Linked DNA regions of Cricetulus griseus. The protein of the gene in region 2 purifies or fractionates together with the protein of the main gene of each other region. This does not show direct contact. Links are inferred from orthologs where the notes say so. Each region holds a gene or a part of one and is shown on either strand. Other genes may lie near its edges.

Region 1 (3,651 bases), on a different chromosome or scaffold from region 2:
GAAAACAAGGCCTGGAGCTTCCAGCCCTGGGAGCTCACCGTTTTGCCACCTTTGCCAATGACCCGGCCAGCTGCTGAAGCTGGCACCCGTATGTGGGTCTCCAGCTTTACTTCCTCCTTAGGACCAAAGAAATTCTCTTCTTTTAGTTTGCCATAGATTCTTCCCTGAGCCTAGGGAGAAGAAGTCAGGGTTAAAAGCAGCCATGTATGTTGGGCGGTGGTGGCTCACACCTTTAATCCCAGCACTCGGGAGACAGAGGCAGGCAGATCTCTGAGTTTGAGACCAGCCTGGTCTACAAGAGCTAGTTCCAGGACAGCCTCCAAAGCTACAGAGAAACCCTGTCTCAAAAAACCAAAATAAAAATAAAAAGCAGCCGTGTATCTAAGTGTAAGGCCTTTAGTCCCCTAGCTCCTCTACCTAGGAGGACCAGCCAGCTAAGGCAAGTGGTTGCAAAGCCCTAGTGGGTGACCTTCAACGGTTCTCTGATTATCTGTAATGCTTGAGACCCTCAGATTATGACCCATGAGTAAATAAGTATCCGAGGATTACAGAGGCAAGAGAATCACAAGTGCATAGGCAACCTGGTCTGCAGACCTGGTTCTGGGCCAGTTAGAGTTACAAACTGAGACCCTGCCTTAATCTCTTCCCACCTCCCTCCTGAAAGAGAGAAATGAATATACACTTCAAAGGATGTACTACTTATAGGTTCCAGGATGTGGCAATAACTAGCATGACAACCATGAATGGAGGCAACTGATGCTCCTTGGGTGCCTAGACAGCTACCCGGTACCCAGTCTCCAGCCTCACAGAGATCAAGTGAAGCGATGTAGACATAAAGAGGAGCCGGCATCAAATGCCAACACCTCAGATTCCCTTCCTTCTCACATTCCTGTGTGGACCATGAGGAAGTGAGGGAGGAAGTGGACATGAACAGAAATTAAGCTTAGCAGCACTTTGAAAGCAGCTTCGCAGCTGTGTATCTGTAGAGCCTGGAAGACGTGACAGAAATCTGACAGCAAACAGAAGCCGCCCCAGCCTTTTCCCCGAATGTGTTAAGTTCCCAACCTCCGCTCCCTGTATCCATTGTGAAAATGCAATATGGAACAGACCTTGAACTGTGCCTCTGGGGGTCCAGTAATGATAACCATTCGAACTTTGGAGTCAGGCGTTTCCGGTGGTGCAATCTATAAAGTACACAGTTAGTCAGAGGGGGCTGCTTCCAGAGGAAGATGAAGGCATCTCCATCCCCTAATTCCCTTCCTCTGTCCATTCTGAGAAAGGGAAGAAGAACAAAGAGCCTCAAATCCAAGTTCCTGTATGCACACAGACCTGTGATGAGGGACCTGCCTCTGTGACATCTCCTCAGCAGGACTGCTCCCCACCACCATCCCATCAGAGAGAGGGTCCTTTCTTAGCAGGGTGCTGCCAAGAGGCAGGGACTTATGAGGTGACTACATAGAGAAGGTAGAGGTTTCACCTCTCTTGGGGTCAGGGAGGGAATCACAAAGCTTTAAATGCCATAGAATGAAACCCATCAACCTGGACCCATAGAGTTGACAACAGCACTGGTTTCCTGGATTCTGGATGCAGGGAGGTAAGAACCAGCACAGACATAGTGCTCACTCCTAGGCCCTGCCTGCTTCCTACATCCCACACGTGCAAAGTGAGTCCAGCAGGTGGTGGGGGTATTGGTTTAGAACAGGGCTGGGTCCATTCTATTTTCATAACATCTCAGCCTGCTGTCTTATACTGCTTCTCATATAGCCTAGAAACGTAGTTAGAAGTAGTGAAGACACCCACAGGCGACTGGGCTTTCATTCCCCAAAGTGTGAAGAACTAGACCTGGAAGAACTCACCTTGATGGAGGCGCTGGCGAACCGTGAGAGCTGTTTGATGTGTTGCCCCTTCTTGCCGATGATGGCGCCCACAGCCTGGGCAGGGATGAACACCTGTACCATCTCCTGCTCAGGAGCCTGCTGCCAGGACAAGGGACTCCTTACCAAAGGGCCAGGGAGTAGGGCGAGGCAGAACCCAGGAGCCCCTCTATCCTGCTGCCTTACACATCAGGTCATGGAAGGCTACCACGGACTCTTGAGCTCTCATCCCGCTAAAGGGAAGCACAATCAGTGGGAAGCTGCTCCCACGCCACAGGTGCTTCCGGGCTGGGCTGCTTTCGTGCAGCTGGCCTCTAGCTGCAGGCCTCTCTCACCATCTTGCCAATGCACTAAGCTCTGACTCCCATGGGTCCCCAGTCAGAAGACCGTCCACTTACCATGAAGGAGCTGTAGGGAGCAGCCCCAGTGACGCTGCTGGGCGGCGGAGGGACAGCACTGGATGACGCCGGGAAGAGACCCACAGCAGCCAGGTTGAGACCAGGGATGAGGTGAGACTGCAGCTGGAGGAGAGAGGAGAGACTCAGGTCAGCGCGCCCACAGGCTCCAGGGGGGTGGCCTAGGGTATGGGGTCAACCTGCTGAGGGGGCTGCTGGGCCATAGGATGTGGCTCTGGCTAACCTACAGGAGGAGGCAGGACTCCCAGCTCCTCAAAGAAGTTATTTGCTTTTGTACAAAATCTGCCTGGTGTTGTGGTTTCCCTTGAGCCGTGGAGATCTCCTCATTGGACTAAACTGTATGTTTAAGCAGGTTCTCTAGTTATTTCTATCACACTGATGGAAGCAAAAGAGGCCCATAACCTGAGAATGTAATGCCCCTCTGTGAGAAGCTGAGACAACTTTCCCTTTGATTCCTGGGGCCCCAGTAGTGCTGAAACTTTCTGCTAGGTATCCCATCCCCAACTGCCTTTAGAAGATCAAAATGGGGTTGGGCATGGTGAGAATAAAATTCCAGTATTGATTAATCTCTGTGAGTTAGAGGCTAGCTCTATTTATCAAGTTCCAAACCAGCCTAGCCAGGCTACACACTGAAACACTGTCTCAAACAAACCAGCAAAATCTGCAGGGCATTGGTGGCCCACGCCTTTAATCCCAACACTCGGGCGGCAGAGGCAGGTGGATCTCTGATTTCGAAACCAGCCTGGTTACAGCTCGAGTGCCAGGAGAGGCTCCAAAGCCAGAGAAACCCTGTCTTGAAAAAAAAAAAAAATAACAAAAACAAACAAACAAACAAAAACCACACACACACACACACACAAAAACAAAAAAGCAAAATCAGATGGTAGGGAGAGGGATGATGGTTCAGTGGGTAAGAGCACTGAGGGCCTGAGTGTGAATACCAGCACCCATGGAAATGATCACACATGTGCCTAAGCACAATGGGTTTGGGGGACAGAAACAGGACTGCAGGACATCTGATGTCCCCCTGCCCTCTGCATACACATATGCACACACACAAAAATAAATAAATATAAATCCTGAGTTGGGTATGGTAGCCTCCTGGCACTTGGAGGCCAAGGAGTGAGAACTGAATTCGGTTCTAGCCTACACACTGAAGTCTTATCTCAGAAGAAGTTAAATTATGGCCTTTCTGTCTACCCCAATACAAGTTTTCCTGGAGGAGTATCACATCATCTAGATCAGATTGGCTAAAATACAGTAATCCACGAAACCCAAGATTATGCCCCCAACCCTACATTAGGAGCCAGATGACCAGCCCTGTTGAGTAATACAGTTTACCCATTTCCAGCAGCAGAGTG
Region 2 (3,751 bases):
AGGTGGAGGAGCCTTGGCAGTTGGAGGCAGCTTCAAGTGGTATTTGTGCTCTGAGACGGGGCCACACAGCATGAGAAAGAGATCTTCTTCCAAGATAAGACAGGGTCAGAGGGTGTAGAGGGTCACCCCAAACTAAGGGCTTCTCATTTAAATCTTTAGAGCCATTTGAACAGCCCAACACAACTCCCCACCCCACCCCAAGACTTCTAATGAGGAGAAGCATGATCTGTATCTTCAAAAGTCAACTTCTGCAGGTGTACAAAGGCAGAGAGAAGAGAAGCAGTAAGTGTGGGAAGCAACTGAGCAAGCACAGGAAAAAGTATGTTTTTCAATCTCTCCCTTTCTAATGTTGCCCTGTGACCTATTCCTGAACACATCCAAATTTGTTTCCCTCAAACCAGTGCTAACAGAAATGTTTCTTATTTCTCTCAGCTTCTTCACAGACCTCCAAGTCACAACACTAAAAAATAACTTTAGATTTATATGTGAGTGTTTTGTCTATACAAATGTATGGGAAGTGTATTTGTGCTTGGTGCCTGCAAGGTCAGAAGAAGGCATGGGATCCCTTAGAACTGGAGTTATTGATGGTTGTGAGCCATCATTCAGGTGCCAGGAACTGAACACACAGGTCCTCTGCAAGAGCAACAAGTGCTCTTGTCTGCCATCTCTCCAGCCCCGCAACATTTTAAAAACCAGACCTCAGCAGTTTTGTACACACACGTTCAGTGTCAATACATTGGGGAATCTCGGACCTGCGTTCAAATCCTGCACTGGCCACTTGAGCGTACAAGATTATCCTAAGCTAAACTTTACTTTCTTCTCTTAAGTGGATATTGAAGTTTTAAAACATGGTGATTGATTATTTGTAATATCATGTATTCCATGTGTGGCATGCACAATCCTGGGATTTTCCTCACATCTTTACGGTTGCCCAGTACTTTCATCCTGCTATTTTACAAGCAGTTCAATATAGCCTACTCGAAAATCTTAGGAGCATCCCACAGAACATCAGAGATAGGGCTGGAAGAACTTTTCTAGAAGGATTATTTAAGGATTTCTCACCTCTGTGTGTGTATCTGTTTGGTGGTGGGGAGAGCAAGAAAGACCCCTAGCAACGCTTGAATTTATTTTTGGTCTTCACAACTGGGAGAAGTGGGAGGCAGAGATGCTAATACTTAGTAGGCAGAAGCCAGTCATGCCATCCAACTTCCTACAATGCACAGGGCAGCCAGGCCCCCACAACCAACCATTATCTGACCTTAACTGTCTGTAGCAAGGAGGTTAGAAGAGCTTTCTCTATCATCGGATCTTGCCCCTTTTAGAGCACTTGGCCATCGGTATCCCACAGGATACACTTTCGATAATGAAAGCTCTGTCCAGCGCAAAAAAGTTCTCCGCCTGCCCTGCACACAGTAGGTGTCAAAACCCATTTTGACATGCTTTAGCAGCAGAAAGACAAGAGAAAAGACCCTCCTTCACTTCCCATTGTTCAACTGCGTGCAATTATATTTTCAATATTTATACATTATTTTACAAACGCAAACGTCCCGAGAACAGCTTTGTTAGAGATGTCGATCAAAATTTGTTTCCTTTTATTTTCTAGGACTTCCACACATACAGAAGAAAGGTTTGCACACTTCTAAAAGGACCTCACGATCCGTCGCGGTGTATCCTGAAAATCGGCCACAAAAGAAATCTGTGGGATTTCCCGAGGGAGCGAGTCCGTGGGCCGTGACCTCTGGGCGCCCAAGGCCCTCGCTCCTCTCTTCCGCCCCCGGATCACCGGGCTTCCGAGACTGACTATGCAGGGCCCCCCAAAGCCTCGGAGCCCGGCCCCCCAAAGCGCGTGCCCACGCCGTGTCCTTCTCCCGCCTCTCTCGCGGGAGCCCAGAGAGGAATCTGGCCCGGGGGAGGCTTGTCGCCGACCTGGATCAAACCGAGTCGGTTTCCCTTCGCCTAGCCACGGCCCACACGCGCGTCTCCGTACCCAGGCCTGGCGCGGCCTGGGGCCTTCGGCCGGTGCAGGCCCGGCGGGCGCCCGCGGGGCTAGGCGAGCTCAGGCCCTAGCGCGGCCTACTCTTTCGGAAGTCGCCGAAGCCACCCGGCCTCACCTGAACACGGGCGGGAAGGCCCGGGGCTCTGCTCCGGGGCGGGCGGCGCGGCGATAACGGCTCCGCACGGCCTCGGTAGCGGTGGTGGAGGCGGCAGAGCGGCGACGGCGACGGCGGCGGCAGCGGCGGCGACGGCGGCGGCTCCTCCTCAGCGCGCACGACCCGCTCCCCGGCCCCGCGGCCAGACACGCCCCTTCTCAGCGCGCTCGTCTATTGGTCGGCGTCTTCGAAGAGCCTGCGCTCATTGGCTAGTATGGCTGTCGAGGTACTCTGGTGCGTGCGGCGGAGGCAGGACTTCCTGTCGGCGCCGCCTGCGAAGGGCTAAAGCGGCCGGTGGAGACTCGGAGTGGCCAGCGATGGCCGTGGAAGGGGCTAGCTGGGGCCAGGCGCGCAGCAGACGCCGACTGGAGCGGAGGCCGAGGAATGGCTCTCCTTGAGGAACGCATGCCGTGTGGTCCTCATCTGACGGGCTGTGCAGCCGCCTACGCCCACAGTAAGCAGTGTGGTCATCGGGAGCCCAGACTAGGAGGGTAGAATCCCTGGTTCGAATCCCGGTTCCTACCGACGTTTCGGTTCCGCCTGAGGTTGAGCACCGGTTGACGTCACTTCGCCTGGCCTCAGTTTTCTTACTAGTGAATTAAGGGATGTGGTCAGCATGGCATTCCCTAAGGCTCTAACGTTGAAATTTATTGGTTTTAAGTTTTTTGTTTTTCAAGTGTATGGGTGGGTTTCTGCCTGCATGTATGTCTGTGCACCACATGCGCGCAGTGCTTACGGAGGTCAAAGAGAATGCCGGTTCCTCTGGACTGTTGTTAGCTGCTATGTGGGCGTTGGGAACTGAACTAGGGTCCTCTGGAAGAGCAGTCAGTGCTCTTAATTACTGAGCTATCTTGCCAGTCCCCGTTCTTTGAAATTTTAAGTATATACTATGTGTCAGCCAGTCAGGCAGTGATTAGAAAACAACTGCCTGTCCCTTTGGGGGCTGCTGTTGTGCGCTAGTGCTATCAGAAAAGTATATGCAAATTGCATGATTAAAAAAGTTCTCTTTGAGCCGGGCGTTGGTGGCGCACGCCTTTTATCCCAGCACTCAGGAGGCAGAGGCAGGTGGATCTCTCAGTTCGAGGCCAGCTTGGTCTCCAGAGCGAGTGCCAGGATAGGCTCCAAAGCTACATAGAGAAACCCTGTCTCGAAAACAACCTCCCCTCCAAAAAAAAGTTCTCTCTGTCTCTCGTGTCTTTTTTTTTTTTTTTTTTTTTTTTTTGCGTGTTTTCTTTTAGTCAGGGTCTTCCTAAATAGCCCTGGCTTGGAACTGTGAACCAGACTGATTTTGCCTCGCAGAGATCTGCCTGCCTCTGCTTCCTGAGTGCTGGATTTAGAGGTGATGTGTATGTTTTTGAGACAGGGTCTCATGTGACCCAGGTTGGTCTTCAACTCGATATGTAGCTAAGGATGTTGGTGAAATGGTCCTTCTGCTTCCGTCTCTCAAATTCTAGGATTACAGGCCTGCAACACCACAGCTGGCCATGTAACCTTTTAAAGATAGTTTTATGAAATTTGAAAACTGTATTATATTTTAATATATTCTGTATGTATGTCTTTGTATGAACATATATGTAGAAATCAAAGGATAGCTTGCAGGA

The links. The genes of interacting proteins can lie anywhere in the genome.
Region 1: the proteins of Elavl1 (region 2) and Igf2bp1 purify together in Homo sapiens (co-immunoprecipitation; 3 studies listed by BioGRID and IntAct, with this or other methods). This does not show direct contact. The link is inferred for Cricetulus griseus from reciprocal best matches to the Homo sapiens genes ELAVL1 and IGF2BP1.

Annotation. Positions count from the first base shown.
Region 1 is NC_048600.1:109,104,643-109,108,293, forward strand, and holds part of Igf2bp1 (insulin-like growth factor 2 mRNA-binding protein 1), read right to left. Parts: intron 2,396-3,651; coding exon 2,273-2,395; intron 1,977-2,272; coding exon 1,857-1,976; intron 1,185-1,856; coding exon 1,110-1,184; intron 171-1,109; coding exon 39-170; intron 1-38. UniProt on the Homo sapiens protein: RNA-binding factor that recruits target transcripts to cytoplasmic protein-RNA complexes (mRNPs). This transcript 'caging' into mRNPs allows mRNA transport and transient storage.
Region 2 is NC_048597.1:89,140,367-89,144,117, forward strand, and holds the start of Elavl1 (ELAV-like protein 1), read right to left. Parts: upstream 2,274-3,751; 5' UTR 2,112-2,273; intron 1-2,111. UniProt on the Homo sapiens protein: RNA-binding protein that binds to the 3'-UTR region of mRNAs and increases their stability.